Stegostoma tigrinum: one gene and its partner. The protein of the gene in region 1 interacts with the protein of each later gene in a pairwise test. Links are inferred from orthologs where the notes say so. Each region holds a gene or a part of one and is shown on either strand. Other genes may lie near its edges.

What was found. The genes of interacting proteins can lie anywhere in the genome.
Region 2: the proteins of ppl (region 1) and rab3ip interact in binary tests that used the Homo sapiens proteins (3 or more experiments, as listed by UniProt). The two-hybrid records come from large-scale screens. The link is inferred for Stegostoma tigrinum from reciprocal best matches to the Homo sapiens genes PPL and RAB3IP.

What each region holds. Positions count from the first base shown.
Region 1 is NC_081376.1:46,890,672-46,897,764, forward strand, and holds the start of ppl (periplakin), read left to right. Parts: upstream 1-4,075; 5' UTR 4,076-4,301; coding exon 4,302-4,345; intron 4,346-7,093. UniProt on the Homo sapiens protein: Component of the cornified envelope of keratinocytes. May link the cornified envelope to desmosomes and intermediate filaments. May act as a localization signal in PKB/AKT-mediated signaling.
Region 2 is NC_081371.1:45,501,362-45,508,741, forward strand, and holds the start of rab3ip (rab-3A-interacting protein), read right to left. Parts: upstream 3,017-7,380; 5' UTR 2,786-3,016; exon of another isoform or gene 2,615-2,785; intron 2,356-2,614; exon of another isoform or gene 2,238-2,355; intron 1-2,237. UniProt on the Homo sapiens protein: Guanine nucleotide exchange factor (GEF) which may activate RAB8A and RAB8B. Promotes the exchange of GDP to GTP, converting inactive GDP-bound Rab proteins into their active GTP-bound form.

The DNA of each region.
Region 1 (7,093 bases):
CTGGGACTTTTGTCGCTGGAGTGTGGGAGGTTGAGAGGAGGCCTTATAAAATAACAAGGGTATGGATACAGTTGATGGTAGCTGTCTTTTTCCTAGGATGGGGGAACTTCAAGACGAGGGGCACATTTTTAAGGTAAGAGGAGAGAGATTTGAGAAAGAAATGAGGTGCAATTTTTTTTACACAGACTACGGTTTGCACATGGAATGCAGTTCCTGAGGAAGTGGTGAATGTGGGTACAATTACAAAGTTTGAAAGACATTTGGATAAGTACATGAATAGGAAAGGTTTGGAGTGATGTAGGCCAGGAGCAGTCTTTTGGTTCTCGATCCTCCACCAATGGGAACAGCTCCTCCCTGTCAGGAAGGGAACCAATTCATGGAGGATGGAAGCTGACGAGGTGACAGAGAGAGAATCGGAATACCTCTGCCTGGAGATCTGAAGAAAATGTGGAAAAGTTTCAGTAGCAGTTGGGCTGAAGTAGGGATTGAGGTGAGCCATGTCAGGGGGGTGGTAGTGCCAGGTGTTTGTCAATGGAGGGAATGTTGCATTGTTAGACTTTGCTTTCAGAATGGCTTCAAGTTTTGTCTACATAACTGAAGGAACTACTGCTTGGGATGATTGAGTGAAGGGTTTTGAGAAGTTTTGATTACTAAGGCGTTGTGTAGGAATTTTTTTTCTATTCTTTTCTGGAATGTGGGCATCACCAGCTGGGTCAGCATTTCTTCCCCATCCCTAGTTGCCCCTTGAGAAGGTGGTGGTGATCTGCCTTCTTGAATCGCTGTAGTCCTTCTCTGTAGGTTGACCCAAAATGCCATTAGGGACAGAATTCCAGGATTTTGGCACAGCATCAGTGAAGGAACGGTGATATATTTCCAAATCAGGATGGTGAGTGGCTTGGAGGGAAACTTGGAGGTGGTGGTGTTCTCATGTATCTGATGCCCTTGTCCTTCTAGATGGAAGTGGTCGTGGGTTTGGAAGGTGCTATCTGAGGATCTTTGGTGAGTTTCTGCAGTGCATCTTGGATATAGTACACACTGCTGCTACTGAGTGTCGGTGGTGGAGGGAATGGGTGCTTGTGGATGTGGTGCCAATCCAGTGGGCTGCTTTGTCCTAGACTTCAGTTTATTGAAAGCAGTCATATATTACAGGCTGTTAGGACATCTACGACATAAAAGGTACAAAATAGGGCTAAGGGTTGTCCATTTTAACCCTCCATCCTGCTCTGCTGTTCAATAAAATCATGGTGGACATAGCTGAGGCCTTAACTTCACTTCCTATGTGCTCTCCATTACCTTGGCTCGTTGTAGATCAAAAAAATCTATCTAACATAGATGTACATTTAATAGTCTATGGCTCTCGGGAGTAGAGAATTCCAGAGATTAATGAACCTTGGAGAGAAAATTTCCTTTCTCATTATGGTCTTAAATGGGAGACCCCTTTCACAGAGTCAGAAGTGTTACGGTCTGGAAGGAAACCATTCAGCCCATTGTGCCTACGCAAGCTCATTAAATGAACATCATTACCTCATGCCAATTTCCTGCTTTTTCCCCTGTACTCTTGCATGTTAATATTGTACAAATAATTATTCAATGCCCCCTTGAATGCCTCAATTAGAAGATAGAACATTACAACACAGGAACCAGCCCTTTGTCCCATAAATTTGTGCCGAATGTGTCACCTAAAATAAATTAATCCCTTCTGCCTGCCCTTGGTCCATTTCCCTCCATTTCTTGCATATTCATGTGTTTATCTAAAAATCCCTTAAACATCCCTATCATATCTGCCTCTACCAATCCTGGCAGAGCATTCCAGGCTCCTACCACTCTCTGTGTAAAAAAAACTTGCCCCTCCCATCTCCTTTGAACTTGTCTCCTCTCACCCTGCCCCCCTGCATTAGACATTTCAACTTTGCGAGAAAGATTCTAACTGTGAACCTTATCTATCCATCTCGTAATTTTATAAACTTCTATCAGTTCTCCCGTCAGCCTCTGCTGCTGCAGAGAAAGTTACCTGAGTTCTTTCTAGCCTCTTGTTAGATCATAGCCTCTAATCCAAGTAGCGTCCTGGTAAACCTCTCCTGCACCCTGTCCAAAGCCCCCACGTCTTTCCTGTAATGTGGCAATCAGAATTGAACACAATACTCTAACCAAGGCTTAGCCAAATTTTTATAAAGCTGTAACAATTGAACCTGCCTCCACCACATTTCCAGGTGTCCTCCACCAACTACTCATTGACTGAAAATATGTTCCTTTGCCTCACCCTTGCTTCTTTTAGATTAGATTCCCTACGGCGTGGAAACAGGCCCTTCGGCCCAACAAGCCAACACTGCCCCATGCAACATCCCACCCAGACCCATCCCCCTATAACCCACACACCCCTGAACACTATGGGCAATTTAGCATGGCCGATCCACCTAGCCTGCACATCTTTTGGACTGTGGGAGGAAACCGGAGCACCCGGAGGAAACCCACGCAGACATGGGGAGAATGTGCAAACTCCACACAGACAGTCACCCGAGGCTGGAATCGAACCTGGGTCCCTGGCGCTGTGAGGCTGCAGTGCTAACCACTGAGCCACCCTGCTGCCCAGTTCACTTAGAAAAACATAGGAACAGGAGTCGGCCATTCAGCCCCTAGACCCTCCTCGGCCACTCACATAGATCATGGCTGATCTGTGGCCTAACTCCATTTACTTGCCTTTGGCATATATCCCTTAAATACCTTTGCTTCACAAAAAATTTACCTATCTCAGGCTTAAAATTAACAATTGATCCAGCCTCCAATATTTGTGGAAGGGAGTTCCAAATATTTGCGACACTTTCTTGTAGAAGTACTTCCCAGTATCTTTCCTAAAAGGTCTGACCCTAATTTTCAGACTAATTCCTTATTTCTAGAATCTTCAGCGAGTGGAAATAGCTTGTTTTTACCTACCCAGTCTTTTCAAGCTATAGAGTCATGGAAATGGATTCTTTAGTCTAATTCGCCCGCATTGACCAGACATATCAACTTGACCTAGTTCCATTTGACAGCATTTGGCCCGCGCCCCTCTAACCCCTTCCTATTCATGTACCCATCTAGATGCCTTTTAAATATTACAAATGTACCCACCTCCACCACGACCTTTTGGCAGCTCGCTCCACACATGCACCACCCTCTGTGTGAAAAAGGTACTTCTCAGGTCCCTTTTAAATCCTTCCCCTGTCACTTTTAACGTATGCCCTCTGGCATTGGACTCCCCCACACTCGGATAAAGACCTCGGCTCAGAGATAATGGGAACTGCGGATGCTGGAGAATCCAAGATAATAAAGTGTGAAGCTGGATGAACACAGCAGGCCAAGCAGCATCTCAGGAGCACAAAAGCTGACGTTTTGGGCCTTGACCCTTCATCAGAGCTCTCTGATGAAGAGTTTAGGCCCGAAACGTCAGCTTTTGTGCTCCTGAGATGCTGCTTGGCCTGCTGTGTTCATCCAGCTCTACACTTTATTATTTAAAGACCTTGGCTATTCCCTCATGATTTAATAAACCTCCACAAGCTTACCCCTCATCCTCCGACGTTCCAGGGAAGAATGCCCCAGCCTATTCAGCCTCTCCCTATAGCTGAAGCCCTCCAGTCCTAACAACATCATTTAAAGTTAAGCAGATAGGAACTGTGTTCAATATTTAAAGGGAGTATACTCCATTGTCCCAGATACACTCTTCACAGTAGATGCCAAGAAAAAGTAATGTGGATAATGGAAATCAGAAACAAAAACAGAAAGTGCTGGTAAAGCTCATCAGATCTGGCAGCATCTGTGGAGAGAAATCAGAAGTTACACTTCAAGCCCAATGATCTTCTTCAGAATTTACCTGGGGGCCAGGTAAGAGCTGGGAGGTGCCAAGCCAGCCACCAAAAGCAACTGGAGGGCTGAGGGGCGTGGTCATTGTCTGCCAATCAAGGCGGGGTTGCCGTGCAACCATAGAAGGGCGGCCAATGGGAATGCAGAGGGGGCGGTGTCGATACGGTGGGCGGGTGTTGCGTGGCTGCACCTGTCAATCAGCTGCTGGAAGTCTCAGGTAAATAGTGTGGGAGAGGCAGAGGAGGAGGTTATAGGTGAGCTCAGCAGCTCGGTGTGTATCTCCCTCACACATACACACACTTGACACACTCTCTGTAGTGTTACTGGAGCAAAGAAGTCAGAGCTCTCTCTTTATCAACTCTTCAGAGAAAGGGAGCGAGGGTTAGAGAGAGAGAGAGAATAAAACTGCGTCTGTGGGGGATAAGGATTTTTATCGTTTCCTCGTGAAACCAGGGACTGCCAAGATGTTTAAAAAGAAACCCAAGAATGTAACTCCCCCCAAAACCAAGTAAGTGTTGTCGTATATATTTATACTTGTGCCTTTTTTTAAAAGAAAAGCGCATTTTATTTATGGGTAACTATATGTTCTATGTTTTGCATGCCTTTTGAGGACCTCTCCCATATAATCCAAAAACAATCAATAAGTTTCTTCTTTTTTTCAAAAAACAATCTGTGATCTGCTTGTGGCTTTCTTAATTAAAAGCTGCTTTCAAGTTCAGGAGGGGAGGGTGTGTCAGCTGAGGTAACTCTAAGAAGTCTGATTAAAGCAGGAATGAACAACGTGAAAGGTTCTGATGCTGAGATTTAAACATCTGTCCACATTGTTTTAATCTCCAATATGAACTGTTAAAAGGACTTTGCAATGTATTTGTTTGACATGAATACTTTAGACTATCAATCTGCAGCCCAGTCAGTATACTGTAGATGAAATATTGCTCACACGGACTGATCACACATTGCTTATTTTGAACTTCTATTTTAGTTTATTACACAATTTTCTGACCTGTTTTCATCTGTATTGTGGAATCCCAGTGACTTATTGAGATGGGTGGAGTTTAATCCTCTGCGCAATGCAATTTAATAATCCTCAGTAAAAGTGTTAAAGGTTTTTGATAATAGAATGAAGCCTAGCAAATGCCAAAGCATTTAAACCTCTGACCGTCAGGCTAATTCAGTAATCAGGTCCAGCAACTCCTAATATCTCTGTGACTTCTGACGTTTTGCATAACAAAACCAGCTTCTATACATGGTCTGATGGATGAACTTCAAGCATAATCACAAAATTTAAAAATATTTCCTCCAGGGTAAAGCTGATGTGTTGAATTACCTTCCTAACATGCAGCAATTTTAAAATCCCTACAGTACGGAAGCAGATGAGCCCAAGCCGACTCTTCAAATAGCATTCCGCCCAAACCCACCCCTCTGCCTTATCCCTGTGACTCTGCATTTCCCAAGGCTAGTCCATCTAGCCTGCGTATCCCTGGACACGATGGGCAATTTAGCATGGCCAGTCCATCCTAACCTGCACATCTTTTGACAGTGGGAGCTTTTATCACTCCCAGCAGGAAAATTAGTCTACTTGTCACCAGAAACTTCTTCTGAATGATAACGCACATTTTGACAGAATAATGGTGTCACTGTCCCACTTATGGATTAAATTATCTCAAGTGTGGAAGAGTTTATCTCCTAGGCATGGGGTTAAAGCAACTCATTTGTTCTCTGGATGCACAGATGACATGGGAAACATTATAAATATTTCCAACCATTACAATCAGCCGTTTGGTTCTATAGTATTTGAGTATGGCTGGTAAATAAGACACGTTTGTCAAAGTTTTTTTGTCTCGCACTCATCAGCAGAATAGACAAGAAATGTAAGATAAAGTTGCCATAGTCCTACCTTCCATTAGGGAGAGGGATTAGGTGGTGATTTAACCTGAGGGTCACCACACCTCAGGTGAGGGGAGGAGTTGAGAAGGCCACTCAGCTGGTGCTAGGAATTGAACCCACAATGTTGGCATCACTCTGAATCATGAGCAGCCAACTGAGATAACCAACTCTGACACAATACACGCCTGATGAGCAGCTTTGACGAAATGTGCCTTTTTGTCCAACAATATTATTATCACTGTCTGCCGTGCAAAGTTCTGTATTGGGACACGTTGAATAGCAAATTCTGTAATATCGAGCAAAATGTTTTTGTTTGCAAATTGTATGAAGTGGTTAATTTTTGGGGGAAAACAGCACTGGATAAATTCCAAGGTTGATTTTAAGAGGGAATAACACTAAAAGCTGAATATGTTGACAAATGGTATTAATGTTTAAATTTAATTGCCTTGGGATGCTACTCAGAGCTGTATTGTGAGCTGCTGATGTTGATGTTTTTCAAAGGAGTGCAAAAGAAAGCCAGCCAGCATTGAAACACAATAAGTAGTTTGTGGCTTGTGCAGAGTCCTTGAGAATACTTAAGCTGTGATGGATTGTTAGATGGATTCTTGATCAGTAGGGGAATCAAGGATTGTGGGGAAGGGCAGGAAAATGGGCGTGATGTATGTCAAATCAGCCATGATCCTATTGAATGGCAAAGCAGGTTCAAGGGGCTGAATGGTCTACCTCTGTTGCTATTTCTTTATGGTTTGTTGATTGAAAGTGAGATGGTGGATACTATCTTTTTGGATTTTGAAAAGATAGTTGATGCTGTCTGCTTTTAAAAGACGGATTTTAGTTATAGGTAATTCCTTTAATCATTCACGGGATGAGGGTGTCACTGGCCAGGCAGCATTTATTGCCCGTCCCTAATTGCCCAGAGGGCAGTTAAGAGTCAACCACATTGCTGTGGGTCTGGAGTCACATGTAGGCCAGACCAGGTAAGGATGGCAGATTTCCTTCCCTAAAGGACATCATTGAACCAGATGGGTTTTTCCCAACAATCGGCAGTGGATTCGCGATCATCATTAGAGTCTTAATTCTGGATATTTATCGAATTCAAATTCCACTATCTGCTGTGGCAGGTTCGAACCAGGTCCCCAGAACATTATCTGGGTCTCTGGATTAACGGTCCAGCAACAATACCACTAGGCCATCACCTCCCCCAATTGTATGCTCAATGTTTTACATACCTTTTGAGGACCTCTCCCATCATAATCCAAAACTATCAATAATATTATTTTGTTAGCTTTTCAAAAAAAAAATCTGTGATCTGCTTGCAGCTTTCTTCATTAAAAATTGCTTTCAATCTCAGCAGGGGAGGGCGCGTCAA
Region 2 (7,380 bases), on another chromosome or scaffold:
AGATGTTTGGTCAAGGATATCAGTTTTAAAAGGAATGCTTTAAAGATGAAGGGACAGAAGAACGGAGTGCACAGGGACTATATACCAGAGCATTGGACTAAGGAAGTCAATAGTACAGCAATCAAAGATGTCAAAAAGACAAAACTAGAGTAATTCAGAGACATGACAGTAAAGGAAAGGAACAAAGGAAGAGGAGAGACAAATAGAAAACTCTGAAAACAGACAAGAATGTTGAAATTGAAATACAAGACCAGGTGCAAAATTTCAGGCAAGCTTATGTTTTAGACATAAAAAGTTAAAGATGGGAGATTAATCAGGAGAACACTGTCATAGTTAAGTCTAACGGTAAAACAAGCCCGCTGATAATACACTGATACCAAAGGGTTGAGTCCATGGCTTGGTCTCTCTCTCTCTCTCTCTCTGTTGTAGTAATCAAGTTACTAACCAAAAAGTAGTTAGTAGAATAAGATACACTGCCAATATAATTCAAAAGACAATCGATTAAAATCATCCAAAAGGGAGAAGTTGTATTTTTCCTCAAAGTTATAGCTGCCCCTTTTCAGACATGTTTGTAAAACAGTGACAGACTTGGTAATATTTTAAACATGTCTCACACCAGCTGTTCCAACATAGGATGAAGACAATTTTGAACAATGACATTATAAAAATATTTTTGAACAACTACAAAGAAGAACAATATTTAAATTTCCATGTCAGTAATATATATCTTACAGCTTGAAAGGTAGTAGCTTTGTACATTTCCCAGTAGGAAGGCAATGGAACATTTACCTTTATTACTAAGAACGGAGACTGCAGTGTAAACATAAGGAAATCTTACTATAACTGTACATTAGCAAGACTCTTGGATTATCCTGTACAGTTTTGGTCTTAGTTTTGTACTTGCATTGAAGTCAGCTCAGAAAAATTTACTATGCTGCTTCATGGCACAATGGAGTTGCGGAGAGAAAATATTTAGCGAGATATACCAATTGGTATTAAGAGTAAGAGTATACCCAACTAAAACATTTTTGCGCTTTATGGGGCAGATCCTGAAAATGTTTTCTAGAACCAGGCAGCACAATTTTAATGCTATGGTTTGAATTGAATGGAACGCAAGATCACAGTTGATCGAATCAGGGCTTCAACTCCAATTTTCTGCCTGCCCCCAGAATTTTACAGTCTCCTAACAAGTCAAACGTTCATCTAACTCAGCATTGAAAAGATGAAAACCCTGTTTTAAGAATCTTTCCCCCCCCCCCCAAGACAGCAAAACGACCCGCAGATTAAATGACTCCTCTACTCAGTTTTAAATGTAAAACAGCTGACTTTGAAATTGCGATAATCTCATCACTGCTATTGGCACCACTGGAATAAGCCAAAATACCATTTTCCAAACCTGCTAGATAATTTCTACACTAATCTGATACATAGTAGCATATATTATTTCCACAATTTTATGTATAGACATACCTATTGCATACAAAGACAAAAGGCTTTACAATATTCAGTGTTCACATACATCACTTAAGCTTTCTTTTCATTATCGTCAGATGAAAATCCGATTACATACTTATTCTAACACATCCATCACGAGTTAAAAAATGGCAATAAACAGGATTATTGTGATAAAGGATGATGACGATAGCATACAATACTGAGTAGCTTCAGGAAGCCTGATGGCTTGTCAGCAAAATAATGTTATAAAACTCGCCACCAGGGATTCCTCGGGGCATACAAGGACACGTAATGAACTACAACTGCACTGTATGGGAGCGAACGCAGGACTGCAATTTTCGATCTGATCATCCGAACAATTCGGCAACGAACATGTTGTAGATGAACCAGAAACCTAAAGTCCAACGTGTCTTGTCAGCTGCACAAAATAACTACATACTGTTCATGCTATACTCATTTCGCGCTAACATGAGAATGGTGACTGCCTATAAAATTACCGCAGTTGGTTAATGTTTTTACAGAGAAGTAAGCGGAATTCGCTTTAATTATAAAATATATACAATAAAGAAAACGATGTTTAAATCACTCAAGTAACTCAATGTATGATAAGATTCGGAAAACCCCAGAATTCTCTTTCGCGTTTAACTGCAAACCCGTTGCAGGATTAACTGCATTATCTTATCTCATCAGTGTCTAATATCATCAAATTGTGGGTGCAGAGAACAGCCCCGGAGAAGAAGTGTCTGGATTTTATACATTTAAAAACAAAACGATCGTTCAACCTGATGCACGATTATAGACGAGTCTCCATCCGCAGAGACATGCAGCAGTGCGGGTTTCACCGCTGTAACTAGGCCGGGAGGGCTCGGAGGTAAAGCCTTCCTTCTCCTTAAAGGGGTGAATCAACAAGGTCCAACTGCCGGCGGCCGGCAACTCGGTCCATTCACACAAAAAAAAATCAGAACCCGCCACTTCCCCTTTCATGAACTCAAGTGGAAAATAATGAAATGTCGAGCCGTTAAAACCGTTGGTCTTGCGGAGCGTCCTGGATGCAGGAGGAAGGAGAGAGAGTTGTATTTACAGGGTCCCGGCAGATACTGCCCAGGACTCCTCAGGTAGAAACATAAGGTTTCATTTAACGTCACAACTATTTTCTCACCTGACGCCTGCCAAACAATAAGCTTTCACCTCAAACCGACAAGAAAAAGTCCACTGTCGGTGACTCGATGGGTTTTTATTTTCCACCTTCCCTCCTCCTCCGTTCACCTCAGACGCCGTATCTTTCGACCCAACCCAGCTCAACTTTCCTCCACCTGTTTTCACCGTTTACCTCTCTGCTTGAACACTTGCACCAAGCCACCACGGCTGCGCAACAGCGACTGTTTCTTCTCGCTCATTTCACCATCCCCTCCGTCTGCCTGCTGCAGCTGCGCAATAGCAACTGTTTCTTCTTCATCCTATCCCCACCTTTCTCCACGGCTGCGCGGTCCGAGAGACTTTCCCTCACCCACACCTTTCCTGTACGACTGCGCGGTCCGAGAGACTTTCCCTCACCCACACCTTTCCTGTACGACTGCGCGGTACCGGCTTCTCTCTTCCAGCACACAGCCCCATAACCAACCCTCATTCCCCTCCGTATGCGTCTGCGCGCTACCGGCATCTTCCCTCCTCCCCAGCCTACCTAGCATGCGTGCGGCTGCGCGGTACCGGCGGTCTCCTCCGTTCCCCTGTCAGCTTGCGTGTGCGTCTGTTCGTGTTGTTGCTCGCTGAGCAGGGAAATGAGCAAAATGTTATGAGTGCTGAGTTAAAACCAAAACAAGTGCTAGGAACATTTTGTAGGTCAGGCAGAATATATCCGGCAACATCAATGGGGAGAGGAGAGAGCAAGAATAACGAAGGAAAGGGCATAGAAAAAGCAGAAATGCGAGACAAGGGAATCGAAGAGGAGGGAAAAAAAAGACATAATTCCGGGGTTTAAAAGTTTGGGATGGATAGTTGAATGGTGGGTTTGGAGCAAGGGTGACTGAACTCTAATTAATTGTTATTGAATATAGGGCGGGCCGGTGTGAACTCGCTACGTTGAATGGCTTGCTTCCGCATGTGAGAATTCTGTGTGAACGTAATGCCTGTTCAGTGCAACTGAGACCAAAGCATCTAATTGCTAGGTATTTTCAAATCAACCTGTTCAGAGGTGTTACGACACATAACATTTGGGAGTAGGAACACCGCTGCAGTGCTACAAGAGCTCAAATTTCTAATCTCTACAGAATATTGGTGTTGTGATTCAGCTGCCTTCTTTGTTAACTACGTGATTTGGTGGGCTAAATGATGCAAGTGAAATCAATATCTGAAAAAGTTAATTTTAGGCAATAGCACCTGATATCATGGGTGGAGAGGGATGCAATGTCTGAGCAGTTAAGTAGTGACTGGCTGGGCAAAGAATGTATGGTCACAGTTTAGTTTTGACTGGTTCAGTTTGCTTGCAAACTAATTATGTTTGGTTCGAGATGTCTTACATGCAGGCCACTGCAATTTAAAGGGACACTTTTTATTGTGTGATTGCTAAGTGCTCAGTAAAATGCTGTTGGCTTCGCTGGCTAGACCAGCATTTATTGCCAATCTCTAATTGTTCTTCAGCAGGTGGTGATGAGATGCTGTCTTAACCTGTTGTTGTCAAGAAGGCAGTTTTGAGATTTTGGTCCAAGATAATAAAATGTGAAGCTGGATGAACACAGCAGGCCAAGCAGCATCTCAGGAGCACAAAAGCTGACATTTTGGGCCTAGACCCTTCATCAGAGGATGTGCTCCTGAGATGCTGCTTGGCCTGCTGTGTTCATCCAGCTTCACACTTTATTATCTTGGATTCTGCAGTTCCCGTTATCACTTGAGATTTTGGTCCAATGATATTGAAGGAATAGCAACAATCCGACCCCACCACCCAAGACATTTTTCCATCTCCCCCCCGTCTGCTTTCCGGAGAGACCCCTCTCTCCGTGACTCCCTTGTTCGCTCCACACTGCCCTCCAACCCCACCACACCCGGCACCTTCCCCTGCAACCACAGGAAATGCTACACTTGCCCCCACACCTCCTCCCTCACCCCTATCCCAGGCCCCAAGATGACATTCCACATTAAGCAGAGGTTCACCTGCACATCTGCCAATGTGGTATACTGCATCCACTGTACCCAGTGTGGCTTCCTCGACATTGGGGAAACCAAGCGGAGGCTTGGAAACTGCTTTGCAGAACACCTCCCCTCAGTTCGCAACAAACAACTGCACCTCCCAGTCGCAAACCATTTCCACTCCCCCTCCCATTCTTTAGATGACATGTCCATCATGGGCCTCCTGCAGTGCCACAATGATGCCACCCGAAGGCTGCAGGAACAGCAACTCATATTCCGCCTGGGAACCCTGCGGCCTAATGGTATCAATGTGGACTTCACCAGTTTCAAAATCTCCCCTTCCCCCACTGCATCCCTAAACCAGCCCAGTTCGTCCCCTCCCCCCACTGCACCACACAACCAGCCCAGCTCTTCCCCTCCACCCACTGCATCCCAAAACCAGTCCAACCTGTCTCTGCCTCCCTAACCTGTTCTTCCCCTCACCCATCCCTTCCTCCCACCCCAAGCCGCACCCCCATCTACCTACTAACCTCATCCCACCTCCTTGACCTGTCCATCTTCCCTGGACTGACCTATCCCCTCCCTACCTCCCCACCTATACTCTCTCCACCTATCTTCTTTACTCTCCATCTTCGGTCCGCCTCCCCCTCTCTCCCTATTTATTCCAGAACCCTCACCCCATCCCCCTCTCTGATGAAGGGTCTAGGCCTGAAACGTCAGCTTTTGTGCTCCTGAGATGCTGCTCGACCTGCTGTGTTCATCCAGCCTCACCTTTTATTATCTTGGAATTCTCCAGCATCTGCAGTTCCCATTATCTCCTAGAATGATGAGTGGCTTGGCGAGTAACTTGCAGGTGGCCTGTTCCCACACATCATCTGCCATTGTCCTTCAGTGCAATAGAGCCAAAGTTTAGAAAGGCATTGATGAAGGAGTTTGAGTGAGTTGCTGCTGTACGTCTTGTCGATGGTACATGCTGTGCCGCTGTCACTATGCTTCAGTGTTGAAGAATGACGAATGAGATGACAATCAAGTGGCCTGTTTTGTCCTGGAGATGTTGAGCATCTTGACCACTTTGGGGAGACGAGATCAGTTATTCACTATAGAATTCCTCGGTCTCGTCCTGCTCTTGAAACCACAGTATTTATGTCCCTGCTTCTGAGCAATGCTAACAACCAGTTGATAGTGGGGATGTTTCAATGGTAATGCCATTGAATGTCAAGGGATCATGGTTACATTCTTTTTTAAAAGAGATTGTCAAGCAATGACAATGGTGTGCAGTAAATGTTACTGATAACAAAGTGTGAAGCTGGATGAACGCAGCAGGCCAAGCAGCATCTCAGGAGCACAAAAGCTGACATTTCGGGCCTAGACCCTTCATCAGAGAGGTAGGAGTAAATGTTACTTGCTGCTTAGCACTCCAAGCATGGATGTTGCCCAGGTCTAGCTGCATACGGACTTGCACTGCATGTGTGAGGAGTTGTGAATGGTGCAGAATATTTTGCTATCATCGATAAATATCCTCACTTTGACCATATGTTGGAGAGAAAGTCGTTGATGAAACATATAAAGAAAATTGGGCCTAGGATGCTCCCATGAGGAGCCTGCTCTGGGACGAAGATTGAACTCCAGAGACTACAACCATCTTCCTTTGTTGGTAGGTGCTGGTGTTGGACTAGGCTGGACAAAGTCAGATGTCACACAGCACCAGGTTATAGTCCAACAGGTTCATTTGAGATCACAAGCTTCCAGAGCACAGCACTTTCATCAGGTCAAGTGAGCAAGAAGAACACACAGACACAGAATTTACAGGTAGAGAGATCAAAAGTCCATGCAACTGGTGTGAGTGGAGTAAGGAATATTAGGTCGCTGCAGCTGTGAGTAAAGTATCAACAGCCGAATAACAAGTGAAGGACCTATAATCTGATTAAGTGAGGCAGAGAAATAATTACAAGAAACAAAAAAAAAGGTGATGCTGGAGACAGGCTAAATGAGTAATCAGATTATAGGTCATAGCTTCAATTGTTATTCAGTTGTTGACACTTTGCTCACATTGTGTAACACTCTTGGTCACCATGATGTGGAGGTGCTCGTGTTGGACTGGGTGGACAAAGTCAGAAGTCACATGACAGGTGATAATCCTGAAACCTGTTGGACTATTACCTGGTGTCATGTGACTTCTGACTTTATCTTCCTTTGTGCCAGGTATGACTCAACTATTGGAGAGGCTTTCCCCTGATTCCCATTCAGTTCAGCTTTGCTAGGGCTCCTTGATGCTATATTCTTGTCAAATGTTACCATGGTTCAAAGCCATTCATTGTCACCTCATCTCTGGCATTCAGTTGGGTTGTTCAAGTTATAGTCTTGGCCCAAATAAGGTCAAGATCTGAGTGGCCCTGAATGTATGAATTTTGCTGATCAAATACCACTTGACAACACTACCAATGACTCTTTCCACCAGTTTGATGATTTAGAGTAGATCACTGAGTAGAGTAGATGTTACTGTTGTAAGTCTTATGTACTGTTGCTGGAATGTGGACATGGCCCATAATCTTTTCAGTATCCAATGCCTTTAGCCATTTCTTGATATCATGTGAAATAACTTAAATTAGCTGAAAACTGGCATTTGTAATGCTGGAGATCATAATAGGTGGCTGAGATGAATCATTCACTCAGCACATTTGGCTCATGGTGGATGAAAATACTTCAGCTACATCTTTTACATTATTGTGCCGGGTCCCCAATTATTGAGAATGGGGCCATTGTGGAGCTTCTTCCTCCTGTTAGATGTTTAGTTTTCTATCA